3 linked regions of the Drosophila melanogaster genome follow. The protein of the gene in region 2 interacts with the protein of the main gene of each other region in a pairwise test. Each region holds a gene or a part of one and is shown on either strand. Other genes may lie near its edges. The genes, in order: B-H2, Kah and Aef1.

Region 1 (9,148 bases), on a different chromosome or scaffold from region 2:
ACAAACGTCGAGCATTTCTCTCAATGGGATCAACGAAATGGTTCCATGGCGAAGGGGATCCCACCGAAAGCCGAAAACTGAAAACCGAAATGAAATGACATGACGTGTTGTTATTAAGCCGCATAATCAAAACAAAAAACAGGAGAGAACGCTATAGGCGAGTTCCTCGACTACCAGATACCTATTACTCAGGACCGCGGACACAGCGTTCATACGAACAGACGAACAGGCTGATGGACACACGAACATGGCGAGATTAACTCAGCTAGTGATCCTGATCAAAAATATATATATAGTCTTTATAGGGTGGGAAACGCTTTCTAGTACGTGTTACATTCTTCTCAACCAAATAGTATACCCTTGCACTCTACAAGTAACGGGTATAACAAAGCCCGAACTTTTATGAATGAGCAAAGAGTTTTGGCCTGGCTGGCCTACTAGAGTCGATTCAGGAATTTAAGGGCCTAAAGGCCACTCCCTCGACCGGGAAGAACAGTGGTAAAATCTTGGGATTCCAAACACACAGCTCCTTAAAATTGTTTCCAATTCACTTAACAAATTTTAATTACTCTCCACTGATTTTATTTTAGCCACAAGTATTTATTTACATACATTATTATTGTTGGAACACATCTTAATCTAATCTAATTATAATGTTATCTTTTAATATTCATAAATCATTGGGCATTTGCCACAAAGTCTAACGTTCTATGTTCTTGAAGCACTACATATTCGATCTAATCAAAAATCCATATCTTATAGATAGCTTTCATAATGATCACCCAATCAAAGTAGATCCTTACCACTGTACATCTCGGTAAGACCCCTTTGAACCAATGTCGGCAGCATCAAGGCGATTAGCGAAAAGCGGTAAATGTTGTGTTAAACCTCAATTAAGATCCAACGGGGAGAATGGGGATTGGGATGGGGCTATGGGTATCTGGATATCTGTATATCTCGCGAGGCGGGAGCCGAGAAGTCGGGGGATCTCAACCAGGTAGACAGGGTACGCCAACAGGATGTTAAACTCTTGCGGGCAATTTGAATTCGCTTTGACTGACGCCACACGCCAGGGTCAGCTCAGCGGATTTACGATCCGAATACGAATCCGCATCCGAACTGCTAAATGATCTCACACAGGCGACGACGAATGGCGCCTAGAAGGTACATATATGTATCGTGTGTGTGTGTGTGTGTGTACCTTTCTGTATGGCCCTGCTTGAAATTCCCCCTTACTTTGGACCCCTGTTAAGTGCTTTTTAATTTGTTTGCATTCGAAATCCGAATTCCCTGTGTTCCGCTTTTATCGGGAATCAAGTGAGCTGAGTGCAATTACGACACCTTCAAAAAGCCAACGGCCCAGGATGCGAAAGGGCGGCGGGAACGGAGGATACTCATCCTCAAGGCACTTAAGCGCATCCCCGGGGGGGTTGTTCCACCCACTTTTCAGCCACTTTTCACCGCTTTCCACCCGCCATCGCAATCTGTGGGTGGTGAGTGGCACTGGCTAATTAAAATTACTTTCCAGCGCGACACTCGGAAATTTACTAGCGCGTTGGACGGGGGAGGAGGAGGAAAAGCGGAGGTGGGGGCCACGTTAATGGTCAGCTGGTCAGTTTGCAGCCACTCTTAATGAGCGTCCCCAGTCATTTGCTTGGGAACGAGACCTTCTCGCATCGCCAACTGCGTATTTGTCATTTTTAATGTCTTTTTAAACCACGCGAAAGCTGAACCACTCTTGCCCCGTAACGGTCTCTTCGACTATCCTATCCGAACTGGGCTTTCACCGATGATAGGATTCTGAAAGTTGGTACTCGGTGTTAAATAGCCCAATGGTTGAGAATACCTTTGGTTTTGGTAAGATCTGTAGTGATGATGTGTTTGATTTTTTACCAGGAGGAAGATATTTAATGGTGTTATCGTTCTGAACATGGGTACTAGTGATTTGGTATTCATAATCTCGAGTATTTTGTGGTTCCGTTCATGTGTGTTGAGATTTTCACGCACTTCTTTTCAATCCAATTTTCATTCCAATATTCTTACTTGGATATTATGAACCTTAAAAAACGCGCATACAATTTCTGGTCAAGCCAAAAAGTCACAACTTCCTCCCATCAGTTAGAGTATATTGCTGTCGTACTTCAACTTTGGCCATTTACACCGAGTTCATCTTTAATTAACTTATTTCGCTGCTGTGTATTATATTTCGCTTTGTACCCGCTGAACGAGCGCCAAGTGCCGTTAGTTAGACCCCGACAAAATGGCGGACGCAGCTGGAAAATGAAAATACGTCGAATATCCGTGGGATTTTTGGTGATTGCGAGTGCGGGAGAGTGGCGAAAGTCAAGTTGCCTCATTAGCAGGCAAAGGGAATGCTGAAAGATAAATTATTGTCACATTTTTACGGAAACCTCATTAATGGAATGGTGGTGTTTCGACATCGAGAGCGAGAGAGCAGTGACAGATGGGGAAGTTACTTTTAGATGGATAGGCTTGGGGGAATTCCAATTAAAATTAGAACACGTGCAGTAAGTGCCAAATTTTACTCAATTTCTTAGGATTTCCGGTGCTTATCCCTTTCAGTACCACTTACGTTATAAATATATATTTTTTTGAATAAATGTAAACATTGTATTAAATTGGTCTGACCTTAGTTTTATTTATTGATAATTAAGAAAACAATTATCAATAAGTAAATTACATAAAAAAAATGATAAGTTTATGTTCATATCTATTAATGCTATAATTTATATTACAGGAAAATCAATCTCATGGTTTATTCAGAGGCAATACAAACTGTACCCAATGATCCCGGTCACGTCTTCGTTTTCCTGCTCCAGCCCGATCGTTTGTCAGGTCGTAAATGCTTGGGATATATCTATGATTACGATACTCTATTCCTGGAAACGTTTGGCGACAGGAACTCGGATACATACCAATGGCCAGTAATACCCGACAATTGCTGCCGTGAGGCCATTTTGAAAAGCTAACTATACAATAAACATGTGGCAGCGGGAGCATCCGCCTCCAGGCGCCAAAGACTGCCTCCTCGAGTAGCTCCTGCCCACCGGAGCACGCTTGTTAGTCCACAGGAATGAGGTGGTAGGAACCCCCAGTGGTATACAGCCCCCTCTTGGATAGCCACCCCCCCCCTGAGACCCATTCACTTGCACATTAGGCAGCAAATTGACATCGATACAAGAAGTAAACCAGAAGTGAGTGGAAAGAGAGGGCACTATCGCGTGCGACAGAGAGGAAAGCGTGCAGCATTTAACTGCTGCCAATTTACTGTTTAAATGCCAAACAAAAAGTGTTAACAAGCGCAAAAATAACAAAAGACACCAACAACAAAGTACGCAGAGCGAGAGGGCCCGAGGCGAGCCACAGGCGGCCAGCCCTTGGGCCAAAGCGAGACAGACAGATGTCGTGCCGGCTGCCTCTCGCTCGCACAAACCAGTTTAAGGGGGCGTGGCCTGGCCACAAAACAGGGTTGACAGCATCCCATCCATCCATCTTGCCATCCGGATATCTGTCCATCAGATACAACAGCAAAAGCAACATTAGAAGCAAAAGCAAAGGCGGCAGCTGCCCTGCTGCCATAATCGTGTTGAGTTTCAAGCTGCCATAAAAAGTTTATGGGAAGTCGTATTGAACAGGGAAACCTTCTAAAACAGTATGATTTTGCTACTGCTGGAGGCATATTGCATAAATGTTCTGTCATTCCTGTACAAACTATATTTAGTTGGAAAGTTAGATAACAAGTTATTAGTATATTAAAGATGCATGGCTACATATTTTTTAATAATACTCGCTATTATAATAAAAGTTTACCATTAACACTGTTCAAATTTTGTTTGAAAGCAGCTAAAATAATATGAAATAACCAACTGACCCCTAAGACTATATTTAACCCTCAAAGATAACGAACACGTTTTTGTTCAGATTTATAGAAATCAAATAAGTACAAATAACTTTTTATATAAATTGACAAGACTTAATAAACCCTATTTATTTAAGGATATGAAGTTAATTGCAATACTTTTTGTGCGGTTGTAGTTCGAAACAGCCAACTCCACCACGTGCCATAAAAATAACCGTTAGACGTGCGGCCATTGCCGGCGGAAAGTCACCACACCCGCCAACTTGAGTCCCGCTGATTGAAGCCTAATGAATGTCAATTGCTGCCAATTACGACCAATAAGTGCGGGCAATAAATGTGGGCAGCCGTGGGTGCGAGCGAGAGGCAGTCGCGGGGCGACAGAGAGGGAAACTCACCACACCGCCACTTGGCCAGGTCAATGAGCGAAAAAGAGACGACGACAGGTGGCAGCTGATGGGAAGCGGTGGCTCAACTGGTTTTTGCTGCCTTCTTGTTGTTGCTGCTGTTGCCGCTGCTGCTGTTGTTGCTGCTGCTGCTGCCAGTTGCTGTTGCTGGCAGCAAGTTTCAGTTTCGGTCGAAAGCCAAAGGCGAGCGGTTGTTGCTCCGCTATTGAACATCACAAAGTGTGCGCACCTCAGCGACATTTGCGTTAAAAACCCAGTTGGGCCAAGAAAACATTAACCAACGCAAGAGCAATCGAAAGCGGAGTTCAAGAACTTGTCAAGTTTAAGAAATAAGTGCGAGCAGCTACCAACAATTAACTGAAGAAGTGCTAAAAACTCGCGTCACCCATACATACATACATAGCTGTTTGTTTTTTTTCGGTGCAAAGTGCAGGTGCAGCAGCGGAGTCGTCGGCTAACCACACATGACCACAATGCCACCGGAAATGTCCGCAACAACGGCAGCTCCCGTTGGCAGTGCACCGAGTGCCACCGCTCATCATCCCGCTGCCGTCGGCGGCGGTATGCCGCGTCCAGCTTCCCCGGCCGTCGGCAGCAACACGACGACAGCCACGGCCACAACGGCGACGCGATCCCGCTTTATGATCACCGATATTTTGGCAGGAGCCGCGGCCGCATCGGCGGCGGCAGCAGCAGCGGCGGCCGCCTTGGCAGCCGCCTCTTCCGGCGGTGGGCGTGGCAGTCCGACGGACTCGGAGCGGGAGCAATCGCTGGTCGCCCAGCATCACCACCATCACCAGCAGCAGCAACAACACCATCATCACCAGCAGCAGCAGCAGCAGCAGCAACATCAGCAGGCTGCCCTGCAACAGTACATCGTGCAACAGCAGCAGTTGCTGCGCTTTGAACGGGAAAGGGAGAGGGAGCGGGAGCGGGAACACTATAGGGAGAGACATTCGCCGCCTGGCAACAATCCCTATGCCCACCACCCCATGCCGCCCCATCTGCTCGCCCACTTTCCGCCCGCCCACTACGCCGTGCTGCAGCAGCAGCAACAGCAACAGCAGCAACAGCAACATCCCCACCCGCATCATCTGCAGCTTGAGAGGGAACGATTGGAGGCACTGCATCGGCATGGCCACGGGCTGACCGGTGATCCTGCCCAGCACTTGAGCCACTTAAGCCACCTGAGCCACCAGCAGCACCATCCGCATCTGCATCATCCCATGCACGATGAGCGATCCCGGTCACCGCTGATGCTGCAACAATTGGGCGGTAACGGTGGCAATAACAACAACAATAACAACAACAGCAGCAGTGCCAGTAACAACAACAACAACAACAACAACAGTGCTAGTGCCAACAGCAACATCATCAGCGGCAACAGCAGCAGCAGCAACAACAACAATGGCAGTGGCAACGGCAACATGTTGCTCGGAGGACCCGGCAGCAGCATTAGCGGCGATCAAGCCAGCACAATCGACGACAGCGACAGCGATGATTGCGGTAAGTCGCTGATCATATATCATAAACATACAATGAATCTGTATAGCAATATGGTTTAAGCTGTATTTCAAGGATAAGGCTACATCGGGAATATATAAAGTATATATATATATATATAGCAGAAATAATTAAGTTGCTAACTAAAGGAAGAGACTAGTTCATGAGACAGACATACAGATTCAGATGGATCTTGAAGAATAGCACCAAGTGCGGAATATATGTATATGTATATAGACACTTTATTGCAATATCAAGTAATATGAGAAGAGCAAAGCGGGGATACATATAGAGAATATATATATATATATATATAGCAATATGATATTTGTGATATTTCAGGGACTGGACTGGATGGGAAAGTGAAATCTAATGAACAACTGATATTCAAAATAGCAAGAAAAAAGAAAGACAAGATATAATGCGAGATATAAATGTTTCAAAATACCAATCAAGGCTTTTTTATACGTGTTCCTGACGTACAAATTAAAAGCAATCAAAATCTAGCTAATATATATGTATTTAAGCTCTAGTAAATTTGCATAGAATATTAAAGGAAATAAAGGAAGCTAGTAATTATAGTATACAAATTGCCATTAAAACCAGTTCTATTTATAAACTTTACCAAAGTTCAGCTGTATTAGCTATTTTATTAAACGAAAAGGGCTTTTATGGCTATAGAGAATAGAAATTATTTCATAGTATGCACACCAATAAATGTTAGCTGATAAATTTGATTCGGTTGGTATTAATTTGAAACCCAAACGGTGGACTTTTGTTTATACACTGAAGGGGATCTCGAAACCAATTTACACCTATCCATCTGACCCCTGAGTTCGCACCACTTTAAATTTACGATTTTCCCCGCGACCGGGATATATCATATATTGAGTGCTAAGCGTGGTTGTTTTTCCTGTTGTCTTTGTCGTTTTTGTTGTGGCTGTTGGCTAATAGATAACGGCCAACAACAACCGCACCAACAACCACCGTAAATTGTGCGGCTCGAACGGGGAAAATGCTGGCTTGATAGGCGAAGACTCGAAAAATACAGGTGAGTTCGAGTCTGAGGCAGGTGTCTTAGGTTTTGTCTCTCACTCTCTCTTTCTTCCTCTACCTGTATATGTCTCTCTTTCTGTTTTTTCCTTTTCAATCCCCCCCCCCCCCCCTCAACTTATTGGCCAGATTAGCCAAGTGTTCGCTTATTTTCAACATATTTCCCAGTCAAAACTGTCAACAGAATACCCTTGACTGCCACGCCCCCCGCGTGCCGTCAACCTTGTTTTGCATGCAACAATCTAATTGATTTTGTTGCCTAGCTTTAGTTTTGCTTTTTTCCTCTCGTTAAGTGCTTTTAAACGATATGCAAATTATAACAAATTACTATTAAATAGCCGTAATCGTGCGTTTGCAATTGATTTGCAGTAATATAATTTAGAAAGGCCGAGAACGTGCACAAATATATATGTATGTATTTGAAAGAGCATGGAAATCAGAACAAAAGGTCAGAATGTTGAGTTTGCTACAAAAGATGTGTGTGTGTTTTTATTATAGATTTTTTACGAAATCCCAAAGGATGATAAAAATGAGTTTCCACTATTTTTGGATAACTAAAATGCCGAGTAATTTTAGTTATTTTAATAATTGCCCGGTCTCAATTCAGTTTTTTTTTTGTTAACGAGAAATTATAAGCCCCTAAGCAATTTTGTTTCAATCAAAGCTTCCCCAATTTCATGGACAATTTTCACATTTATATGTGTTTTTTGACTTGTGCCAAAATCAATTACCAAATTAAACTATAACCAAAAGCGGAGATTTCTCCCTCCAAGTGACCCCCTTCTGTTTTGACTTCCCGCTGTCATTTTTCCAAACCGAAATTGCCTTGACTTGAGCCACAAGCCAGGCCGTGCCACACACACGCAGATAAATAAAAACACAAATGAAACTGAAGAAATCAAAATCAAAATTTAATTTAATCTGCTGGCTGGGCAGCCGGACAACCCACACACAGTCTCCTCTACAAAAAAAAAAAAAACACCCATTGGCATTCTCGCTTTCTCTCTCGCTCTCTTATGAAGAACCCACGCTGAGAAAAATAAAAAAAAGAGTTATACAAGGAAGGCTATTCTCAAAATATAACATTTCGATGACGTTATTTAAAAATCAGAAAGCTTATAAAATATTAGGTTAACGGTGGACATATTATCCTCAAAAAAAAAAAAAAAAAATTTACAAAGCAGTTATTTTGTCCCAAGACTTTAGTTTAAAAATGGAATAGAAAGAAATAGCTCGATGTGCAGCGAAAGAGAGGGATATGTTAATGTACTCAGTACTCGCGTGTCACTTGAGACGCGTGCGAGCGACAGTTGTTGCTCATTCGTGCGCCTCCTCCTTCTCCTCGTCTTTGCTCACCTCTTTCTTGATCTTTCTCTTCTTTTATCCTTTTTTACCCACCTTGGCGTTTTTTACGAGGCTCAAACGACGATCCTTGCTTCGCACCGCGTTTGAAATTGACCCAAAAGCTTGTTCTCTGCCCAGCGAACCGTACACTGATCGAAAAAAGGGGGGATATCGAAAAATTATCGGTGAGTCTGGATGGTGGACGGGGTAACTCTTGCCACTTCAATGCCTCCATCGAGTGCTAAAAAAAAAAAGAAAAGACGAAAAAAGTTTCAATATTGAAATTGATATTTTCGGGCATCGTCTTTCACATATTTTGGCATTTCAGGAATGCCAGACTTTTGCTTTGGCTTCCAAGATCACGTATTCATATGCGGTGTATATGGCTCAAAACAGGGCAGACGAAGCTCATCCACTTAATCCACAAAATGTTTAATGGATATCCACGAAAAATTCACGTGCGCCACAAAAAGCGCAAAAGCGAATCAAGTTCGTTGCCCAAGTCTTTTGTTTCTATTTTGCAGTCTGCTTCGGCTTCTTTTCGGCGCTGCTTCTTATTTATATTATTTAAGTTTTGATTGATATGGCATATGCCCTTACCGACGTGTTTCATGGGTAAATAATGAGAGCTTTAACGTTTGATGGCTTGGTGAAATTAGAAAAACTGCTTTTAAGAACGAGCTATGATTATTAACGGCTTTAAGTACAAGGTTCTCATAGTTAATTGTAGAGCAGTAAAGGCTTCGTTGTTGATTTTCCAACATCATTTTCCAGCCGTTTTCCGTGAAGGAAATGTTAAATCGCAGACCCAACAGCCACAATAATAATTACAAATTATAATGCAGGTAACACGAAAAGCTAACCACCGTTATGTAAGACCACTCGCTTCTCATGTTGCTGCTGCACTTGCAACGTTTTCTTTTGTTGCTGTTGTTGCTGCTGTTACTAGACTGCACTAAACGCC
Region 2 (12,087 bases):
GAAATTCAAACTTATATCAAAAACCAAGCACACCGATACATTTAGCATTGTACTTGATAAGCTATCGATACTAGTGTTAGATGCAAATCAAAATATACACACTCCAATTAATAAGTGTATCTCTCTGTCTTATTCTGATATGCGTACCTTTTTGAGGGCCCCCAAGATATTAGGAGGCCAGCTAATTTATCAAATACAAATAATCGTAGTCATAGTGAATGAATTGAATTAAAAGTCTCGAGACCAAACCAAAGCATAGCAAAGCAAACCCAAATCCAAAACCAATCAAACTAAACGAAACAATGAGCCGCGACGTTTGTATTTATGTATAGAGTTCCCTCCCTAATCAACAGATAATACCTATAACAATCGAGTTCCGATTTCAGAAGAGTTAGGCGGCAATTAAGCAAGAAATACAAGAGGTACAGATTACTATAATGGTAATAATAAGGATTAACTCAAGTTACGTCAACTTAGTGGCAGTGTAAACGCGTCTAGATAATTAATAGATATGAATAAGAACTTTTGACTTTTATGGCTGTTTAGAGATTTTATAATACGACTATATCGATATAGAATTATATACATACACGATATAAATTAAGCCCAAAAATTTGCGTAACTTATTTACATACTCAGACACAAACATACGTCACACGACAAATTAACTTTAGTTCCCCCAAATGATTTTCGGCTAGTTCTGGCTTGGAATACCGCTCCCAATCCCATCTTCGGAAATTTTGGGGAGTGGGAGTGTCCTCTGCATCCCATGGAGGGAATGAAATCGAACATTGTGAAATTTAGTGTCTTTACACTTTAAAGAGAATATATACAAAACGGATTAATTAAGAAACTTGAAAATCACACAAGGCGAAGTGCAGATACAGATACCGAAACAAATGCAGATACACCTACACAAAGATGCAGATGCATATAAATTATGGTAATTACATACTCTCGTACATATGCCTAAAAGGATACACGTGTAGTAATCTACAGCCACAAAAAAACAATTAAAAATAAATGTCTATATATGAAACGAACAAGATTTAATGTGCGCAATATGCGTGTATCATTATATACTTAAATGTATTTGTGTATATGAAAACAAACGCTAACAAAGTAAACCAAATTATAAAACAAATACAAGGAAAAAATAAAAAGAAACAAAAAACGACAACAAATAACAAATACAAAACCAAAATTATCAACAACATAAAGAAAATCCTTTCTCTTATTATTACGTGGGAAACGTTTGGCGGATATTAGTAATCCGAGTTGCATGGCAATCCTAATCGTTTCGATTAATCAAGTCGAAGTAGGCTACCGAGTCAGTCGTCTAAATTCAAAAACCCCATTTGGGCTATCAGAGACTGAATATACTATTTTTCTATAGTAGCTAAGAGGCGTGCGTACCTGTAAAAGGACCATAACCCAACAGAATTCCGAATATAAGTTGACCGCCAGAAGGACAAACAGGTGAATACCTGGTGCATTATCATCGTCAATAATGGCTTACTCCTTCCTCAAGTTCACAATGGGACAGACACTGTCGGAACCAGTGACCACCAAGGACACCGCTTGCTGTGCCAATGCAAGCTATCGCGTGGGCTCATCATGCATGCAAGGATGGCGCGTGGATATGGAGGACGCCCACACCCACATTCTTTCCCTGCCGGATGACCCGCAGGCGGCCTTCTTCGCCGTTTACGACGGACACGGTGGAGCTTCAGTGGCCAAGTACGCTGGTAAGCATTTGCACAAGTTCATTACGAAGCGGCCGGAGTATCGGGACAATAGCATTGAGGTGGCCTTGAAAAAGGCCTTCCTCGACTTCGATCGGGAGATGCTGCAAAATGGCTCCCTTGATGAGCAAACGGCCGGCTGCACTGCCATTGTGGTGCTCATTAGGGAGCGTCGCCTGTACTGTGCCAATGCGGGCGATTCGCGGGCCATCGCCTGCATTTCTGGAATGGTTCACGCCCTGTCCGTCGACCACAAGCCGAATGACGCGAAGGAGTCCAAACGGATCATGGCCAGCGGTGGTTGGGTGGAGTTTAATCGGGTCAATGGCAATCTGGCCCTTTCCCGCGCCCTCGGCGACTTTATCTACAAGAAGAACTTACTAAAGACTCCAGAAGAGCAAATCGTGACGGCCTATCCCGACGTGGAGGTTCTTGACATCACCGAAGACTTGGAGTTTGTCCTGCTGGCCTGCGACGGGATCTGGGATGTGATGAGCAACTTCGAAGTCTGCCAGTTCGTGCACAAGCGCATACGCGATGGCATGGAGCCGGAACTCATTTGCGAGGAACTGATGAACAGCTGCTTGTCTCCGGATGGCCACACGGGCAATGTGGGCGGCGACAACATGACCGTCATCCTGGTGTGCCTGCTGCACAACAAGAGCTACGAGGATCTGGCGGTGCGCTGCGGAGGCAAACGAAAGACCCCCGTTGAAACCGTAGGCGACATCCAGGATCAGTCGGTGAAGGTCGTAACTCCCTGTTCTCAGGGATCTTCGGGGTCGTCGACTTCTCGATTGGGCCTGGGCTTCGGACTTCGCGAAAGCGAAACTCCCGAGGCTAATCTTTAACTTTTGTTTTACCTTTTACATTTTTCATTACTGCATTTGTTTGCTCTTACTCTTAATGTACTTTTGTACTTTGATTGTCGATCCAGACGCTGTTGGCACTACAAAATTATCAGTCAACACATCACATTTCCCGGCAGTACAAATATAACACAATACACTACACTTTCCCCCAACTAGCAGGGAAATAAGAACACTTCGTTTTGTATTTTCTCGGGGATCAATGGATCGGATCTCTTGTTTAATTCGAGTTAATGTGCAAATCTATAGTACATTTTATAGCTACGTATACGTGTATATATCTTTTGGTGTATATGGTAAGTACGAGTAAATAAAGGTAGTATGCGTGCGCATCTAAATCGAAGTATCTTTGGTGCGATTAGCTGTAGAGCTGTAGATCGAATCGGAGTGAATCGAGTCGAATCGAAATGCAGTGAGTATCTGTCTATCGATCGATACTAGATGGTAAGGCCACAATGAGAAGGCCGATTGCTCCGAATCGTGCTAGTAGAAGTATACAGATTGCAATATGGTTAAGTGCCAGGCGCTAATTAGCCATACATATATGTCAATTATTGCACCACATGCGGCCATAAAGTGCTTAAAGTAACGCCACGCACAAAAGGGGATGGGATCGGGAATGCTCCCGATCTCGCCAAATGTGCGCTTTATTTAAATATAAAGACTAGAAATTCTCTCGTTTTGGAACGACTTCCGTGCCGGAAGCAGGAAGCCGATCAATGCCTTAATGCGAAGTGATTAATGGGGTTAGTAAGTGGGGTGGATATCTTTGGATATTCCTATGCTTCTTGTAAAATCATAAAGCTAGATGACTATGTGTAAAGTTTGTAGCTTGGCTGCGGAGTTCGATCGTCTGGGGCTGGGATGCTATATCTTTCGCTCTCCGATCGATCGGTAATCGTATGTGCTATAAAAAAATACTGGTTACATTGGTTTTTTGTCGCTGTTCTTGGCAAGTCTCTAAGAAGTCTCTTATTACAACTAAGTGAAGATCAAACGATCAATCGGGAATCGATCCAACCTTGTCTCTCTATATCTACTGTGTATGACCTCGCCTTCCTTGGAGTTTTCCGAGAAGAGGGAACTCTTCTGTTCGACGAGCTGTGCGTGCTCCTCTTTGCTCTGGAATCATCTACTCTCTAATGGTACTTTAGCTCTTTTGCATTATTATCACATATTCGTTGACTACAGTAAGAAAATGTCCTGGATTGGTGGTGGCTGGTGGGCTGTGAAAGGACTTGGATTAAGTGGCATTTCAGTAACGGTCTCCTCGAATGGCCTTGGGGTAGTGCTCTGCTTTGCTCTCTCCGGTGTCTTTTGCGTGGTATCCTGGCTGGTAAGATCCTATGCCACCATGGCGTAATTCCCGGTCAGCTCGAAGGGACTCGTCTTGGCCGAGTGCGTGAAGTTGTTCTTGGGCGAAAAGTCAACGGGCTGCTCCTGCACGGAGGTGGGATCCGATTGGCCCGTGGACGTGGCCTGGCCCTGAAAGTGATACGGCATCGCCAAAGGCAGGGCCAGTGGCACGTGGCGATTGGGGAGCAGGTCCTGGTACAGGCTGGGTACCCTATGCGGCATCACTTTCGGCTGAATCACGTTGATCCGCTTGAACTTCTCATATTCCTCCTGGGCCGAAGTTGCGTGGCTGTAAGCCGTCACTTCTGGCCCAGCCGGAAAGCCCTGGAAGGCCATGGCCGCCTGCCTGCGATCCTTTTCCTTCTGCAACAGCTTGTTGGCCAGCGTAGACTTGGCTGAATCGGAGGCAGCACACTGAAATCACCACCGTAAATCAGAAGGTTATTCAAGTGAAGAGATGTCATATCGATTTAAGGAACTCACCACTGCCGCGGCAGGTGATCCAGGAGCCAATGCCGAGATGGTGCCGCTTGTTACCTCCGCCTGTTGCCTTTTTGGCGACGAGGGAGGTCGGTTGCCGGATGCTGCTCCCGATCCCGGAACGCCTCCTCGATTCTTCATGCACGATGACTCCTCGTGCTTGTACAGGTAGGACTTGAGAGCGAAGGCCTTGCCGCATCGCGCACATGTGTGTGGCTTGGTGTTCGAGTGGGTCTGGATGTGGGCGCGCAGGTTGCTCTTGTCGGCGAACGCCTTCTCGCAGACGCCGCACTTGAAGGGCTTTTCGCCTGTGTGGGTGCGGATGTGGCCCTGGAGGAGCCAGGGCCTTGAGAAGCGCTTGCCGCAGAACTGACACTCGCATCCCTGATTGTGGGTGCGCACATGCATCGAGTAGGCGGGCATCGAAACGTACACCTTCTCGCAATAAGGACAGTGACGCGCTTTCTTATCCATGATTGATCTTTAAAGAACATAGACTTAGCAATACTTCACCAGAAAAATGTACAAAACTTTAGCTCACCTGTGCGTTTGTCTATGACGTGCTAGGTTGGAGGATGTGGAGTATTTCTTTCCGCACTCGGGACAGATGTGCTCGTCCTCCAGCAACGAAGTGCTGTTGAGGATTTCGCCCTGCTCCCCATGATGGTGGTGCACCGATGAGTGCCCCTGGAGTCCCAGGTGGTCCTCCGAGGATTGACGGCTGGAGGTGGAACTGGAACTGCTGCTGGCGCAGGAATTCGAGTCGGAGATTGTGCAACGACGCAGTTTCCTGCGATCGAAGACCTTGTGGCTGTAGTAGTTGGAGTCGTCGTCCGAGGAGGCGTACAGTGGCAGTGGCTTCACCTCGTCCGTGACCAGAGGACCAACGGACAGAGTAACCTCGGCCAGCTGGGTGAGATTGTACAACTCCTCGGGAATGGGTGTCGCCTGCTGGTCCTTCGTCATCGTGTTGAAGAGCTGGTGAAATGCCTGCAAAGCATCGGGTATTTTCTATGATGAAAACAGCATGACTATACCCGAAATATTTCCTGCTAAATGCGCACGTGATGCGTCATTACCTAGCTAACACATATCAGCCACTACATTAGCCACTACTAGTCAGTGCTGAGTTGAAAATCTTCACCTTTTCCGGACGATGGTGTAAAAGACTTATATCAACGATATGCTCATTAATTAAACTCACATTCTCCTAATTAGTGGTTCATTATAGCTTGAGAAAGTGCACTAAAAATAGACCAATAATCGAATTATTCGGCATAAGAAACCCCCAGCGGATCGCACATCCATGGTGCGATCGCCGCCATCTATCATCCCACCTATCATAGATCTTTCCCTCCTTGTGCTTACGCCATAATTCGTGTTTGTTTATTTGAAAATGCATCAATTTATAATTAAGGACAGAGTCGAGAGGCCACACACTCGTAGTCTGAGATGTGAGCCAAAGTCGTCTGCATCATCATCATTGCCGAATAGGAATTATCGCACATGGTTGAGGGTTAGCAGAGCCCACGGGGCGTATGATTAACGTCATTGCATACCGCATACCGCATGTTGCATATTGCATATTGCATATTGCATTCTGATTCTGATTCTGGCACTTGTTGGCTGTTTTGCGGCTCGGTGGTGCCGATTTTGTGCCGGTGTTCGCCATCTTCGCCTCTTTGCGTGGTCAAATAAATTTATGTCGAAATGAGTGCGCTTAATTTGTACATGTTCTTTTGGCATTGATTAATCTCGCTCGTAATTGGCGCATCCGAAAGTCAGGTGGGCTTGGGTCTATTATATGTTGGAGTTCACTGTACCATGCCCACCGGGATGCTCACAAAGAAGCCAGTCTTGAAATATAAATGCCTTCATTTTGTAATGTTCTTCAAAATATTATTGTATTTCTTTCAAAGCGGCGCCATTTATGTATATATGTATATACCTCTCTCCCACTCAATCGTTTGTTTATCATGTGAAAGTTTTCGCCTTAATTTTTCTGCCCCCAAAAGATTTTCTGAATAATCGAACCCATTGAGAAATTTGGAAGAATCGATGAAACAGTGGCGTTCTTCCACTCTTGAGGAGGTCATGTGCAATACTCTGCGGTGTTTTGGTTTTGAAATTGCTCTTGCTTTCGGTTTTGTTTGTTTCTCTAACACTCTCTGTGTTTCGCCTGAGGCCAGCCGCGTGATGTGTGTTTCTTTTTCGGTATCGAGGAAAATGTGGGTGAAAATTCCCCCTGAATCAACCTAGCTAAACAGCTGCCATCCGCCCCCGCCAACGAATTCGGCAACCTGTTGCGCCCGCTTAGCTGCCAATTCCCATCGGCTTCTCCTCGGGGAGCAGTACATCAAAATGTTTCTGCGGCAATTAAGCGGAATGATCGCTGCCAAGGTGGCCGGAGGTGTGCGAAAGTGGTTTTCCATGGAAGGAAATACCTTCGCGCCTCTTCCCCTTTTTGAGTGGGTGTGAGCGAAAGCCGCCAGACGTCCATAATTTGTGTCTTGGCAATTTGCGGCCCATTTATTTATGTGCCCCACCACCTGAGGCCCTGTTCCCAGGTGGTTGCCGTATACATTTAAATATATGTAGCTAGCACCCGAATGTATGCCATTTTCCAACTAATCGCGTCATTTTCAATACCCGATTTCCATCGAACACGAAATGCTCGAGTCTCTGAAGAACAATATGCGTCTGAGAATTCGCCGGGGAAAGCAGCTGACAAGTGATCGGCGGAGCTCCTCTATGGATCCCATAGAGCCACAGAACCCCACTCCCCCTACACCACCAAATGAAATATGTCTGTGCCATATTTCCGATGTCAGAGTCGCTTGGGGCATACGAAATGTCGCATGTTTCTCTGACAGGTCGTTAATTAATTATTCCTCGGCCCCGTGCGATTGCAGATCGGTCGGTAATCGCAGATGACAGGAAGAAGGTGGGTAGGGATCGACGATGTACATTTGCATCGGACTCGAATGGAAAACGCAAGGAACTTCTTAAACGAGGAGTCAGTCGATCCGATCGAAGGAGCAGAACAGAAATAGTTGAAATATATATTTGGAGTTTTCCATGACTACTGTTTTTGGTGTGAGTAACTCATATATGTTATAATTTACATATTTTTTGAGCAACAGTTTTCCCACAGTGTACTTAAGCAGCTTAGAGTCCCCCCAGTTGGATGACTCATTTCTGCTCCCCCATCCGCAACTTGGTCGTTCCATGTGCACCGAACAATGGACCACGGACCGGGTGAATTATTTTACTCTCCGCCTGCCATTTTCCTTTTCATGCCGCCGCAGATCTGCGCAAATTGCGTGGTCTCCGCCCTCCGGTCTCCCATCTCCCATCTCCGATCTCCGGCCGTACAGTTCGCCCGAGTAGACCGTGTCCGTATTGCTGGACCGGGGAAGAGTTCAAAGTCCTGTTAATGTACACAGAGGCCAAGAGAATGGCGATGGCCAACAGAGGTGGCTTCGGTGGCCTTAACATGCGTCTTCCCCTCGCTGCCAGGCGTCTATAAATACCTGATGCCTGATCCCAAGCGGCAGGGGCAGGGGGAAGGGGCAGTGATCCCAGCATAGTTTACATTTTAGTTCAGGCTAAATACGAGTGCACAATAAACAAAAATCCAGAGCGCCAGCCTCAACCTCTGGCTGCTTCCCAGTCCAGAGTCAATGCCATGCACCATGGATAGACAGCGTGTATGCCATACAGTAGGCACACCACCCCCACCCACTGCGCCTCAGTGGATATGTCGGATTTGGGCATCAGTTTTTGTTTACCCCAGATCGCAGGCCCTCATCAATCGTTGCCTCAACTGCAGTTCCCGTTGCCGGCGGTTTGTTTACGGACCCGCGGCATAAACATTTGGACGGGAAAGGACACAAAGGAGCGGGCTTCACCTGTAAATCACGGCGGTTAATTATCCCCGAACCGCCGCATTAATCAGGTTCATATGTATGCACTGTATGATCTGTTGTTTATCCGCTTTATGCGCCCAAATTGGACGGAGGATCTACGCATCTACCACCGCGAGACAATGGCCATACCCATACCAATGCATATAGTCATGCGGAAAGATACCAACTATACTATACTCGTACGTCCCGGTCACTATTTCCCGTTCGCAGAAGCTCATTGCCAATGCAAACATTGCTCACGTAAATGTCAAAATATCAAAAGAAATAATAATATTAATTTAACAAGTGCGGCCCGTTCTGTCCGTTGGTTGGGTGGAGTGAAGGGGGGGGTTTTGGGGGGTGTGCAATGGGGATCGGAAAACGCCGCTCATTTGCAGTCACGCGAATCTGTTGGCCCAATTTGCCAAGCAGATTTTCGATCTTGTTTCGGTTCCTGGGCAGATAGTTATGCACGAGCGAGGTGTGTGTTCTATTGTGTAATCGAAAGGCGGTAAAGGTGCAAATTTGAAGAGCGAAGTTCACTTTCCACCACCTTCCGTTCACATTTCGCCAACTCACCCCACGCAGTTCGAATAGTTGACGGAAAACAATCCACTGCCGTCGTCGCTCCGCCTCGAATATAGACGGATGATTCAGTTGCCGATGGGAAGTCAATGCTTTATCACACACGGAGCGCAAATTCCACGAATCTCATCACCCGCCAAGAGTCCGCGATGGCAACGGGTGATGGGTGATGGGTGATTGGTGATGCTGATTTTGGGGATCGCACTGAATCTCGATAAGTGTCAAACGGATTTATTAGTCGCACGGACGGATTGCGCATCCGTGAAGGCGAGCGAACGCAGCGAGATCCCAGGAAGAACTGAGCGTTCTTCGCCAGACCACTTACAGTTTTTACATCTTGCGACCGCTGCCGCCGCGGCGATTCTTCTGCCTCCGGCGGCGTCCACCTCGCGGTCTCGGTCTCCCATCCTCTCCTACATTTTCGTACACTGAGAAAAATAGCCTTACACTTCTGTATTATGCACCCCAACTGTATTAGTATTGCAGTTTCTGTTATTTCCATTTAGCTATTTCCATTCGGATTTATTTCTGGCATGGGACCCCCCGTTTCGCTCCGTGTACATCCGCATCCACGTCGAGGAGGTGACGAAGCTGACGCAGAGCCAGCAGCTGTTGGTCGCTCTTGCCGAGGATCGGAACGGTACGGATCGACATCGGCATCGGCATCGGATCGAACATGACTTCGAGAACGAACCACGACGCAACAGCGACGGAACAAGTGTGCGCGGTTTAAAAATAACAATAATGTTTTCATTGCGCTACCCTTTCTCTGCGCAGCCCTCTCTGCCATGGCTTTCCATTGCATTTTCCGAAAGGGAAAACTGTGCCCGAGGTGACGAGGCGCTCCTGCTGGCAGGACCACTGCGCAGAATTCTTCTAACGATCCGCAGTCAGTGTCAAAAACCTTACACACTCGCTGAAGAACAGACAGGGTTGTTGTAATAGGTCTTTTTTTTTTGTATTTGTGGTATTTGTTGTAAACTGATGAAATTAATTACTTGAGCTATATAAGGATGTAGTCTCACATGTTAAGATAAATGTTTTATATATTAGTTGCCTACTTCCCCTTGTAGAATCAATATATAGTCTGTTTTAATTTTGTATGTCGAGAAGATTATCAATTCGATAGACTGATAGCTGTACCTCTAGTCTAGCTAGTGATATTTCGGTGACCTCGACTGTGGGAATTTGCCCCATGTGTCAGTGTGTTTTCGCCTGCCCCATGCTGATTTGCCTAGAAAGAGAGAGGCACTACTCTCGCTTCGTGGTTGGGCAGTTTCTTCGGTAGCCGAGCCGGCTACCCGTCTTCTCCCACTCTTCTTGCTGCTCGGATTCTTCTCCTGCTGTTGGCTGATGGGGATGGGAATGGGTGCTCTTCGCGAAGAGTGACGCAGTCGTATGCAATTTGGCATTTTCCTCGCCTGCGTACTTGTTGCGGGCATCCAAAATAGACTCGCTCACCTGAACCTCTCCACCCCATTCCATTCCGCCCCCAAAAGTGTGCACTCTGCAGATTCCCCACCTCCGTTGGCCTTAGAAATCCAACGGATTTCTCGCAGGTGTTGCCGTTTTCTCTCGTTTCCTCCACTTTTCATTTTCGACTTTTCAGGCGTAATGAACTTAATGTCGCCCCTTTGGGTGTTTTTTTTTTCGGTTGGGGTCTTCAGATGTATTGGGTGCTAACGTATTTTCTATATATTCGATATGATTTATGCCGAGCGGCGGTTTCTGTGTCTGTTTCTGTTTATGGTTCTGGTTTGAATTGGATTTTGATGTTTCACAAAAGATCTTTACAGTTGGGCGGGGATTGTAATGGGTTTATTTATAAGGCCACCCCTTGTGGCCAACAAATGTGTTTAGTGGCTCCCTGTCCGCGACTTTATTTCCCGATCGCACTTTTCGCACTTCTTGTGGCATTTTCACACTCTACAACTTGCTGCCCACGCGACGAAGACAAAGGAAATCGCTTGGTGGCGAATGGAAAAGCTAAGAGGAAGGGAAGGAAGGGGAAGAAGGGGTGGGCTTTGTCTGGCGCCAACATGGAAATGCAATTTGAGTGGTAAGGTCAGGCTGGGCCATAGCCATGCATCACCGTCATCGCGGAGCTTTGGACACGGGAAAGGCCTTCTTCTGCCAGCGTGACATGTGCTAAAGACATTTTGCGTCGACTTTAATCACGGCAATTAATAAGACAAGAAAGGAAGTCCCACAAAGGAAGTGTCCCCAACTGGCGGCCCAGCAAATTGCTGTGGATCAGCGCGGTTCATAGTACACCCCTAGCATACCCATACACCATGGCCTCACCCGGAGCGTGCGATTCTGGAAAACCGCCGAAGACGTCGTGACTGGCGGCCATAAATCTATTTTCGTCCTGGTTCCAGCCTTCAGCGCTTCCCCATCCCTGGAAGCCCCTCCAGATCCCAGACCGTCGGGGATCGGTACGCTTTTCTCACTTGCTGCGCAATTGCGGGATCCAATCTTCCATACTGCAACTCCTTCTACAACTCCACACACTGAGAGAATACTCAGTAAACTGGTCATGGGAAATGAGACAATAATCCAAACTTCATAATTATAGCCTGAACTTGACCTCTTCTTAGTATCTACGTGATTTCAAGCATCAAGCATCCGATTTCCCGCAGTGCATGACCGCTTATTAAGTGCCCCTGGATCTTTATTTTTAACTGCTGCCGCCAAGATCGGGTGGTTGGGATCTCATTCTCTGCGTAGGTAAAAGGCAGAGGGCTACGTGGTGGTGCACTTCTGTACGTATTGGGTATATCGTCTGAATTGAATCCGCAAGTGAATCGAATCCACATTTGCAAATTCCAGACGGTGTCCAATTATTTACGCAGATAAATAAGCGAAATCCGCCGTAATGCGAAATTCAACAAGAAGTAAAGAAGGCACACAACTTGCTCCGCCTTTGTTTGGTAAATAAAGATCCACAATGATGTGGGTTAGTAAATTATCCCCAATTGTAGTGATGGATCGAAATCAGATCAATGGATCTGGCCCGAGATCGAGTGGCAATAACTTATGCGGAGCGGTGCAACTTCAGCACCTAATTTCAGGTCCAGCCGCATCCTGTTTACGGGAACTCCTTGTGAACTCAAGGGTTTTGTCGGATGGATGTGGATATGG
Region 3 (11,877 bases), about 21 Mb from region 2:
ACGAAGGACTCAACGGACAGCAGCAAAGTGATCAACGAAATACGGTTCATAAACGACGGAGTGGATGTGACGTCCAGGGTAGAGGAACAAATGCCAGATACACCACTGGAGAGCTCCGTGGAGGATCTGGAATCAGATGGAGAGCAAAAAATGCAGCGTGGTGAGGAGCAAGTTGACAAAATTGTGACGAGCTCTGAGGAGGCGGTGTCCAAAGTCGGCGAAGACGCGATAGATGTCATGGACTCCACTCGTAACTCGATTCAAACAGCGGTAAAAAATGCAGCAAATGGAGCTCGTGATGCCATGGAAGCTGTAGGCGAGCGAATGGCTACTGGAGCTCGAGGAGCCGTGGATACCGTGGGAGGAGCAGTAGGAGCGGCGGGTAAAGGTGCCCATCGGTTGGCCAGCGATGCAATGCACGCAGTGGAACAAGTAGGAAGTAGTGCAATGCATGCAGTGGAGCAGGCGGGCAGTAATGCGGTCAAAGCAGCCTCGGAAACAAAAGATTCGATGGGCAGGGCTATGGATTCGGTGACCAGCAAGATCTCTACTGAAGTACTGGGCGCCAAGGAAAACATCTCCTCATTGTTTCAGATAAAAGCGGCGAGGGAGGCTGATCCACAGACCACGCCATGTTCCACACCTCGCGGCGAGGATGACTTGTCCTTCAAAGAGGGGGCACCAAAGACCACCACAACGTTGGGTTCCAACGAGGAGGATGAACGAACAACGGCCTCTGTAAACTCAAACCACAATTCTGCAGGACATGGCAATGGTAATGGCAACATCTTCGAGCCAAGCACTACCTTTGAAGACCCTCTAGATGCAGTGGTGGAGCGCAGTAAGAAGGCGATGCAGGATGACATTCGGGCCATGCAACTGAGGGCAAATTCCCATATTCAAGCTGTGGCCCAGCAGAAGGAGGAAGATGCTAAGGGATTCGTGAAGCAGGTGATGGACAGGCTCTCGTGCCGTAACGAAAAAGCGGTCAGGATCGAAGGTACCTTTCAGTATAGTCCTTCAGTATATACTTACCTAAATTCTGCTTACCTTCCAAATAGATGAACTGCGTCCGCCGGCTGGAAGTCACAACAAAAACACAAACAAAGTTAACAGCGAGCTGAGTTTAACCAATGGGCAGGCACATGGTGATCAGTCGCAGGCTTCGCGGGTCTGCACGATTTTATAAAACTTGCACCTGCACTTTTCTGAGCAATTGCATTTGGTCTTTAAGTACAATTTAATAAAAAATAATGCAAACGAAATTCCTATACAAAAGTTCTGCACCGGGCAGTGTGACCGTACTGTGGCGGGAGGAAAACCTCTCAAAAACGAAAGAAAACTTACATATTCCTATGTGAATGACTTCAGTGGAACTAGCTCATTTAGCATAGAGATGGCAATTCGATATTCACGAGAAGTCACATTAGAAAATGATTTTATATTAATATGGTGGGAAAAAAAATAATTATAAAGATGTGCTGGCCTAAATAAATCTGAGAATTTTCCCAAATTTGATCTCTTATACCAACTTTCCCATTGAGTTCGGGGCAGTCATCGTGATTCCTTCACACTCGTGATCAGTAACAGGTCCCCCATAGCTATCGCCCATCCCCAATTGGCACTAGTTCATTCGCGTCTATTTTGTACGCGAAACAGTAAAAAAAAGAAAAGAAATATTTGTACTATTTTTCTAACGTTTATACGCTTTTTATAAATGAAGAACCAGCCACAGATAATGCTGTGAGGACCCGATTCTGATAGGCGAGAGCAATACGCGAACACCCTCCGAAAGGCCCATATCCCCCAAAAAACCGAATCGAGTGCGAAAAATGATGTAAAACGGGGGAAATCTAAACCTGAAAGGCCCCACACAGCACAGCCACAAAATGGAAAGGTAGGTCAATGTGTGGGCGCCCGAAAAGAGTTCAAGTGTGTCACTCAGTATACCCAATTCCGTCTGGAATCATTTGGCAAAAATAGCGTTTATAGACGTGTGAAAAACAATGGACATTTTCGAGCGGAGAGCTCCAAAATTAAAAGTATCCTAACCTCAAAAGAGCTTTTACACAGTACGTGTACGTGTGTGCGCTAGTGATGTCCATACGTGTGTGCGACTGAAAGTGGTTGTGACTTTTAGCTGAAGAAGGGAGCGCGAGGGGCGATCTAGAGGCAACGTGTTAGTGGAAAAACTGCTTTTGAAAAAAGGGGAAAATATCCCCCAAAAAGCCCGCCCAAAAAAGGTCAGTTCGGAATCCTGTCGATCTCGCCTCCGTTGAGATTGTTATCCAATTGGTAAAGTTATCACTAAGTTCTTAAGTTGCCAGAAAAACACATGTAATTTGGCGAGAAAGTAACACGCTGTCAATTCAACACAAAAAGAGAGATACCTGAGTGCTCCATGTGTGTGCGTGTTGTGTTGGCCTCAGTGTCTATCTTGTCTGGTGGGTGAGCAGGGGGCGGGTCAGGTAACTTGTCCGGCGAACGTAAAAACCAGCGTTCAAAAAATATATTAAAAGTTACATGCATGCAAGCAGCGCGCGTTTTATTTTGTTTCAAAATGCATAATCAATCGTATGTTTAATAATTTATGCTCTTTGACGTATATTCGAAGTTTTCATACCATCGAAGTCATAAAAATCTTTTAAGGATTCGGTCATCCGTTATGGATCTTATTTAAAAATTACTCATCACAGTTTGTTTGTGAGTTTAATATTAGTATGGCTCTTTAATAAATGTTATAAAGCCCGAAAATATTTACTCTCGCAAGAATATTGCTTTGAACGCTTAATACGTTAATCATTATACCTGAATGATTTAAAACATAGTTTCACACCGTAAAGTAAGCCAGTTACCTCCTTACAAACATGTATGGATATGTAAGCCGTGTAGTTCCAAATACTTATTTATGTAGAGAGGCTTGCCTAAAGGAGACGAAGGAGTAATATGCTAGTTAGGACACAAAATGGGCTTCAATGCGTTTCACTAATAAGGGCACACAAAGAACCATAGGAACCATATGGAAAGGGGGCTTCAAGGGGAGGAAGTGGAGCTGGAGCCGGGAGCCCAGCTATCAAAGTGTGTCAGCTATTGAATAATTTAGATTTATAATTTCGCAGTTAGGTATTTCGTATGTTTTGGGAATTCCTCACATATTTTTGCATACCAAAAAGCCAAGCCGCCGACTCAACTAATCCCAATCTCCCTTCTCCAAACACAGGCACTAGCAGCAACAACATCAGAGAAGCGCCCAAGATGAGCATGTCGTGGCATTTTTGAAGCATCGATCTTAGTTTGTTAGCCAGCTTTCTGTTCAAGTCACCGAGGTACCGCAGTCTCCCTCCACTATTCCACCAGATTCAAATCCAGCTTCGAATCCCGAATCCAGACTACCTAATCCCAGCAAGAGCAGTCCATGATGCATATCAAAAGCCTGCCCCATGCCCATGCCGCTGCTACGGCGATGAGCAGTAACTGCGACATTGTCATAGTGGCCGCCCAGCCCCAAACCACCATAGCAAACAATAATAACAATGAGACGGTCACCCAGGCCACGCATCCGGCTCACATGGCGGCGGTTCAACAGCAGCAGCAACAACAACAGCAACAGCAGCAGCAACATCATCAGCAGCAGCAACAGCAGTCGAGCGGACCACCCTCTGTGCCGCCGCCACCCACGGAACTCCCCTTGCCCTTCCAGATGCACTTAAGCGGGATCTCGGCGGAGGCGCATAGTGCCGCCCAAGCAGCGGCTATGGCAGCTGCCCAAGCTGCAGCAGCCCAAGCTGCTGCGGCGGAACAACAGCAACCGCCGCCACCAACTTCACATCTGACGCACCTGACCACGCATAGTCCGACAACGATCCACAGTGAGCATTACCTGGCCAATGGACATAGCGAGCATCCCGGAGAGGGCAACGCTGCCGTTGGCGTAGGGGGAGCTGTCCGCGAGCCGGAGAAACCTTTCCACTGCACCGTCTGCGATCGTCGCTTTCGACAGCTAAGCACACTGACCAACCATGTAAAGATCCATACTGGCGAGAAGCCCTACAAATGCAACGTTTGTGATAAGACCTTCCGTCAATCGTCGACGCTGACGAACCATCTGAAGATCCATACGGGCGAGAAGCCTTATAACTGCAACTTTTGTCCCAAGCATTTTCGACAACTGAGCACGCTGGCCAACCATGTGAAGATCCACACGGGTGAGTGATGAAGTGTGCTACCATACAATTTTGACCGAAACTGATTTGTGTCTTATTCTTTAGGTGAAAAGCCTTTTGAGTGTGTCATCTGCAAGAAGCAGTTCCGACAGTCCAGCACGCTCAACAACCACATAAAAATACACGTCATGGACAAAGTCTACGTTCCTGTTAAGATCAAAACAGAGGAGGATGAGGGGTGACTAGGACGAATGCCGTTGGCGGCGCACCACCATCAGCAGCAGCAACACCAGCACCACCATCAACAGCAGCAGCATCAGCACCACCCGCCGCCTCCGTCCCAGCAGCAGCAGCAGCATATCGATCAGCGTGGAGTCACCATAACCACGTTGCCCTCCGCCACGACAGTGGCCCAACATCACCAGCAGCATCAGCACATTCAGGATGGCTCGCCGCACCATCATTTTAATGTGGCCGCTCTAGGGGACTTATCCAGCGCTATGCAATTGGGCGCTGTGACGGCGGACGGGAGCTTTGTGACCATGGGCGGTGTTGTGGTGGGTCGCATCCAGCACACACGAGAGGAACTGCAGCAGCTTGGAGTGATCAAGGTGGAGTCACCATCGAATGGTGGCACAGCCACGACGTCAGCGACGGCGGAAACGCAACGCGAGGGATGAGTCGATGAGCTGCTCCTCGAGTACATGCTCAAGGAGGAGAATGCGGATGAAGAGGATGAACAGGAGCATGAGTCGGAAGTGGATGCGGATGTAGTGGAAATTCAGGAGCAGAAAGAGGAGCAGCGATCGAGCCAGAAGTGAGCCATGTTTGGTGTGTACGCTTACGTTGTTGTTAGTTGTTTAATTGTAGCGAACATTGTTGTTGTTGTTAAGGTTTAAATGTGTGACTAAGAACTTACCAAGATGATTGTATAGCAAACGCTTCAAAAGTAGGTAAACGAAAGGCGCCGACACCAGCACCCAGAGCTCCCAAAAAAATAACACAAACCGTAAACAAAAACAGAAACAAAAATACTAAAATAATAGTAAAGCTAAACTAAAAACCAGATGAAAGACCTTTGCAGAGAGTTGTCTCTATAGCAGCGCACCCCATCTCACATTCACAACCCTCTCAGCCCCGGAAATAGATTAAACCCCTCTCTACTCACTTATAAAATAACCTAACCCTAACTAGAGTGAAAATAGTTTGCTAATAGCAAGAGCAAACTAAACCCAAAAGGCAAAAAGCATTACGTGTACGAAGAACTTAATTAAAATATTTCCCAAAGTGCAACCCGTTTCAGATTGTAAATTGTTGACCCGACTCACTTTTAAGTTGTTTAATTTAGCATTTAAAGCTTAAGAAAAATTGTTGTACAACTCAAAGTTGGTGACGTTTTTCGCCATCTTGCAAGGGCGTGTTTTAGTCTGGGCTAACACAAATACAATTTGTTTATAAAATCAATAGCTTAATTATTTAACTTCGTAAACTTGTCAGCAAAACTTAAAAAAATATCCTGAACAGAAAACGGCAAAGAAAAATATTCTAATAGTGTTAAGTGGTCGAAACTATCTAATTAGCTCTTAGTCCCTAGAGAGCCATAGTTTTTAAATCAGCGTTTTGTTAATTTTAATTGATTAGTCTTAGTAGTTTTAATTTCAGCATTGGCATAATTTGGAAACACAAAAGCTGTCACGCTAGCCTTCGTTTAAATATTAGTTAATGAAGTAAACACAAAGTAACGCTAATTAATTCATAACTAATTACGATTATGAGATAGTAAAGCAACAAGTTCTGTACAAAGCCCAACTCCAATTTGTATGTATAAAGCGAAAGCGAAAGAGTTTAACTAAATTGTAAACGAAAACCTTTTTAAAAGAGAAAATAATATTTTCTAAAAATACAACATGTGACTTTTTATGTTAGCCCTTTAATTTATGTATGTTACCCTTGGTTTCCTCACATCCCGACTGTCCTTTGTTTCAAACGCCGGTCGCCTTTAAATACCTTTAAAAACTGCAGCAAGGGTCAAACCGAAAAGACTCCTGTATCAAGTTCCTATAGAATTCAAAGCGCAACAAACACGGATGTCCCCAAATGTATACGAATCAATTGCAAGCCGGGAAGTGGAGACACATTCAAAGAAACCTAGCCTATATGGAATGAATATTAAATAAATGTTGATAAATGTGTAGTGTTAAACAAATTAAAGACAAGACAGCAGAAACAAAAAACCGAAATCCCAACCTAGTAGAGCAATGATAAGAGCAACGCTTGAATCCGTGCTATGTTTTTCAAGGCCCTGAATGCAGATCCTCGCCAGGATCTAAGATCCCTAGAGAATTTGAAAGGTCGCTCTAAAATGAATGCTTAATATTTGATGCAGATCGGATTCTGCTCTTTGTAACATCTGAGCTCTGCACCCAGCTTTTCTAACCCTCCCCAGCGTATGCATATACTTAATATAAAAATGACGTAGTGAGATTAGCATTTAAGCGCCTACTTTAATGATAGTTGAGTGTGTAAAATGTAAACTGCAAAGAATTTAGACATACAATGAACAAAGACAAGACACGTTAGGCAAATCGAGATGGCAGAAGGATGAGGAACTGCAAAAAAACCAACAAGCAAAAGGCTTAAAAACAAATCGCGATAATATTATGTAATTATACACATATATATTTATTAATGTATGTATGTACATGCGCAGTAGCTGTATTTATATGTAAATGTGTACGTAATTGTGTATTTAGTTACAGCATAAATATATATTTGCAATGGAGAAATACAGAAACGGAATTTATGACAAACGGTAACGAATCAAATGCATTCTTATTTGAAACCATTTAGATAAATACTAATTAACGGGCTTAAAATAATTAAGTTTGAACTTTCGGTATGAAATTCCTTAAATTTAATGGAGCCTTAGATATATTTTCGTATTTGGGCCCTCATATGCCTCCCAATAAGGAGGAAGACGCAGAGTCTACTGGAGACATGGACTCTTCATAGCTCAGAAAGTTGTTCAGATAGGTTAACCAGTCCGACACATCGACCTCCTTGTAAACTTCGTTTTGAAGGAGTTGTCGCAAAACTCTCATTTGTCTCACATCCTCGCCATAGCGCACACACATCTTGGCCATATTGATACTGGCCACCGGCAGGTTCACCTTTTCCCGACCTGTAATTACTTTGGTGCTCATGCGCTCCTTCCAGGTGTGTACCTCCTCCTCCAACGCATCGAGCCTGAACACCTTCGGCGCCTCGCGCACAACTCTTCCCACAGGACTGATCCTCGCAGTCAACGGCTGCACGAGCTCCTTACTCATTAGGTACTTCCAAAAGCCTCCAAGATTTAACCACTTGTCATAGTCTTTTAAGGCGCTAAGGAGTAATGCTAGGTAATCCTCACGCGACAACTGCTCGTCATCGTCATCCTCAATCTCACTTTTAAGATTGTACTTTACCCATTGACGCGCTCTAAATTCTCCGACCACCTTTTCCGGTCCAAAATGAGTTTTTTTGGGAAAGAAAAAGAGCTTCAAAAAGTGGTCTGTGAACTCGAAGCGGAGATATGGGGGGTCCAACTGCCGAATAGCCATTAGGTAGGTGCGAACCTTTTTGCGATTGTGCGATTTAAAAATCTTGAAGAAGTCTTCGATGAGCAGATGGGTTTGGGGTCCCATACTAGGATATATCACAGCATTATCCTCGTACTTTAGCTCTGCCGTGTTGCTTACTTCGACAATTAGGGAAACAAGGCGCTAATAGTACTGAAAGAGTTACATAAAGCATACAACCCAAAAACATTACAAACCTACCTGGAGAATCCTCTGGCGTTCTGGGTACATGGACTTGGCCACTACCTGTCCATACAGACTCATAATTTGTTTAACGATGTCGCTGAGACGCGTTCCTGCTGACATTTCAAATACGATCGAGGCAAATGACCTGGAGTTTTCCTGAAACAGCTCCGACTCCGACTGCCTCAACCTGTTATGATCCAGCCAGGAGAGGAACTCTATTTCCAGTACACATGTGAGCATGTTCAGGACATCGCAGAGCCGTGCCAAGCGGACTGCGGGCGACATTCTCTTGAAGTCGTCCAGACAAAGCTTCCCACTCTGCCAGTCATACTGCTGTACATGTCGCAGAAAGACCGTTTCCTGGGACATATTCGCATCCTCCTCTTCCGAGAAGTTAAACACAAACTTTTCATAGAATTTGGTGTTTTCACGTATCTCTTCATCGCTGCAATGCGTTAGATTTTCCTCAAAAAGATCGATGTAAAACTGCAACTTCTGGGTAGAATTGGTTGAACGTGTTTCTCGCAAGGGGGGATGCGAGACGCCCAGAAAACTCAAGTAGTAAGGACGCAGGGCTGTCCAGCACGGGGGAAAGGCGTCGACCAAAAGAAAAAAGGTGCGTATAAGTTTGTTGTAGATGTCGCCAAGCTCCTTTACGCTTATCTCTTTGGCAATTAGGATCTGCATAAGGAATTCATGATATTATTACAATGTGACACCAGAGAAATAAGCAATCAACCATGGCCATATCTATTAGTCTGTCAAAGACTCCTTCGCCTGGGTAGACACCCTGCAACACCATCATCTCCAGAATGTCCAGGAATGTATCGTAGTGCTGGCCGTGCAACGTGGTTCGTAGCGCCTGAACGGCCGCAAAGTTTGGGCCATCCGGAAGCGCGGAGCACCGATGTCTTTGCGTGCACAGACTAGTATTGTAAAGACACCTGGAAACACAAGCTCCCGGAAGACGATCCTCGCTCTTCATGTACAGATTTGAGATCAATATACGCAGGTTAAACTTCCAGTTCAGTTTCTTGAGAGTATGATTCAGCGGAGCAGGATATTCGTTGGTCCTCTTGAGGCATGCCTTCCTAGCGAAAACCTCCCCCGGGGCCGCCTGAGGTTTGGTTCCTGACTCTAATATCGATTTACCATCTAATTTGGAATCTGATTTATTACTTGCTTTGGAATCTGATTTGTTAGGATCAGGTTCGGCAGCTGATCTGACAGAGACCATTTCCACGTCCGACTCCTGAGGCAGATGAAAAGGAATCGTCTTGTTGAACTCTAAATTAGTGTCTAAGACAATTTCTGCGACGTCCGCTGTTGAATTTATGGTATTTACGCTGTCTGAGTTCATTGCGAAATTCAATAATTCTTCGCCGTTGGAACCCATTGCAATTCCTTCGGTTACTAACTGATCTTCAGGTTCTTTGGTTTCAGGATTCTTTTCAACCTCTAGACCAGGACTAACGTTATGGCGTTAATTGTGGTGGACATCAGAGCGCGTAACAATTATTTACGCTAGAATATCAAAAGTATTAAAAACACAATTTGTGTTTTTTTTTGCCGGGGATATTTTTAAGTGTGACCGCTGACAGACCGCCCAAATATACGGTAAAACGATAGAACAATCGATACTAATGGGCTCAACGGCTTTTTAACTTATGCGATAATATCGAAATTATGGAAATAACCAAAATTCAAACTCTCTATTAAATTTTCTCTATTCAAATTTTCAATTAAAATGGTGTGTCCTATACGTCCAGTCCAGTCTTATTACTTGTGATTAAGCTCCTTCTTCAGTTCCGTCGCCGGCTTAAAAGGCTTTGTCGAACCAAGGGCTTGATCTCAACGTTGGACATTGAGGGCTTTCTTTCTTGTTTGAACAACCGACAATGCGTCCAATTTCAGCGTAGGTTTTACCTTCAGAGATCATGTTTTTAATCAAATTTCTTTTTTCGACGGTACAATGCTTTATGCGACCCATGACTTGAGAATTTTGGGCCTTCGTTTGGAAAAAATTCAATTAAAACCTTCAATTCAATTCCTTTTTATAAAATGTGTGGAAAAAAAAACCCAAAGCAATCACTTCTATTAATATTATTCAGCAAATACGTGGTCAGTGCTATGTTTGTTACCGCCTAATTTCGCGCACTTTTGCAGCAAGTGCCCAAAAACAAAAAGAACCGTTACGTTGAGAGAGTAAAAATTTATTGCTCAGAGAGACCACATATGGTACTTATTATTCATGCAATCTGACTTAAAAAAAAAACATTTAATAATTTTTTTTTAGGAAATCAACTTTCCACCTGCAGTAGTGCTATTATTTTAACCGCAGCTCTATATCGGTTAAGTTTTCATTATTTGGGGGTCTATCAATTGACATCAGGGAGATGATTTTGTAATGTAATTTGTCTGTTTTTTAATTAATAATTTTGGGAAGTGCTGTTGCTTCTTTGCTTATTCTCTTTATTCAGGAACTATATAAGCTAAAAAGTTAAGATTAAATATGGCGATTCTAGAATCTCCGCAATTTGTTTTAAGAATAGATCATTTTATTCAATTTCTAAACATATTTATTCCTAGGGGATTTTCTAGGGAGAGTATCTTGCTTTTGGCTGCAGATCGCAATATGTAATTCCAGGTCCTAAGCAAGAGGCGAAGCCCATCAAATGAGGCAAGGTGCTTTGTTCGTAAACTCCAGTGAAAAGATGAGACCATGGACCTTGAAGAAGATATTCCACAACTTTATACATTTCAAGAGTTTTGATTAAATGCTTGGATTTAAGATTATATATATCATTCAAAACCCATCTAAAAAAAAAAACTTAAAAACCAAAAAAACATGAACTCACCATGAGCATAGACGGCCACATCGCCACCGCCGTGTGTCTCCTCGGTCATGGGCACTCCATGTGGATAGATGGCATCCGGTTTGGAAAAGTCCAGGTTACGGAGATCAACGCGCTCCACCACTCCGTCCGTCGATTTGTAGAATCTCTCGTAGGCCGGGCCGTTGGCATATGAGATGGACGTGTAGGGCAGCTGGTCCACATTACTTAGCTCGGAATTGAGTCCTACTATGCTGTTGTTAACATCCGGATAGCCGCTGATCGTGACCGTGTGTCCGTGATCCGCACTCACCACAATTAAGGTGTCCCAGGGATTGGTGAGTTGTCGTGCCTTTCTCACTGCGTCCGAAAACTGAACGGTTTCATCCAAGGCCTTCTTGGCCTTGGTCTCATGATGGGCGTGATCGATTCGACCGCCTTCCACGAAAAGGAAATACCCGTTTGGATCTCGGGAAAGCACATTTATGGCCGCTGCCGTCATCTCGGGTAGCGTGGGTGTGTCTATGCTGTCGTCCATGTGGTACGCCAAGTGAGAGGCATTGAAGAGCCCCAGCAGGAAGTCAGTGTTCTGCGCATCATTGTTCAGGAGATCCGTACGACTAAACACCACCCTAGCATTACCCGGCTTTGTTTGTTGCCATTCCTCAATGAGGTTCCTATTATCCAACCGCTGGCCCTTGTTTCCGAACACATCGTTCGTGGTATTGGGCAAGAATTTAATGGTTCCACCGCCCATGACCACACGCAGTCGCTTGCCCACATCTCCGTCTATCAATTGCTGGGCGATATCCGGACAGTTTCCTGGATTTTGACCCAATTTGGTCACGTCGTAGTCGCTCTCGAAATCGCGATTCGAAGTGTGCGCATAAACTCCGGCCGGACTGGCGTGGGTAACCCGAGTGGTGGTCACCAATCCAGCGGATTTGCTACCTTTAAGCGCCCAGGCGGCAATCGAGGAGAGCCTATTCTGCGGCAAGCGCGATCCCCTGCAGTCGTTCAACTCCACATCGGCTGTCACTCCGATGGTCAGATAGTTCGCCTTGATCCCCGACA

Evidence for each region.
Region 1: the proteins of Kah (region 2) and B-H2 interact in a two-hybrid assay, tested with the Drosophila melanogaster proteins (one large-scale study listed by BioGRID).
Region 3: the proteins of Kah (region 2) and Aef1 interact in a two-hybrid assay, tested with the Drosophila melanogaster proteins (one large-scale study listed by BioGRID).

What each region holds. Positions count from the first base shown.
Region 1 is NC_004354.4:17,310,122-17,319,269, forward strand, and holds the start of B-H2 (BarH2), read left to right. Parts: upstream 1-4,459; 5' UTR 4,460-4,748; coding exon 4,749-5,790; intron 5,791-9,148. UniProt on the Drosophila melanogaster protein: B-H1 and B-H2 are regulated by members of the wg signaling pathway; wg and dpp. B-H1 and B-H2 are coexpressed and functionally required in R1 and R6 receptor cells and primary pigment cells for normal eye development.
Region 2 is NT_037436.4:580,026-592,112, forward strand, and holds Kah (kahuli), read right to left. Parts: upstream 9,250-12,087; 5' UTR 8,938-9,249; intron 5,441-8,937; 5' UTR 5,417-5,440; coding exon 4,992-5,416; intron 4,932-4,991; coding exon 4,454-4,931; intron 4,385-4,453; coding exon 3,959-4,384; 3' UTR 2,799-3,958; downstream 1-2,798. Other genes in the region: Ppm1, read left to right, coding at 1,538-2,596.
Region 3 is NT_037436.4:21,431,805-21,443,681, forward strand, and holds Aef1 (adult enhancer factor 1), read left to right. Parts: upstream 1-1,623; 5' UTR 1,624-1,897; intron 1,898-2,068; exon of another isoform or gene 2,069-2,243; intron 2,244-3,220; 5' UTR 3,221-3,415; coding exon 3,416-4,205; intron 4,206-4,268; coding exon 4,269-4,405; coding exon of another isoform or gene 4,406-4,843; 3' UTR 4,844-6,835; downstream 6,836-11,877. Other genes in the region: CG33288 (uncharacterized protein), read left to right, coding at 1-1,000, 1,062-1,189; CG5664 (uncharacterized protein), read right to left, coding at 7,115-7,927, 7,985-8,650, 8,709-9,365; Alp1 (alkaline phosphatase 1), read right to left, coding at 10,567-10,718, 10,828-11,877. UniProt on the Drosophila melanogaster protein: Transcriptional repressor that binds specifically to fat body-specific enhancers, namely the adult ADH enhancer (AAE) and the enhancer that controls yolk protein gene expression.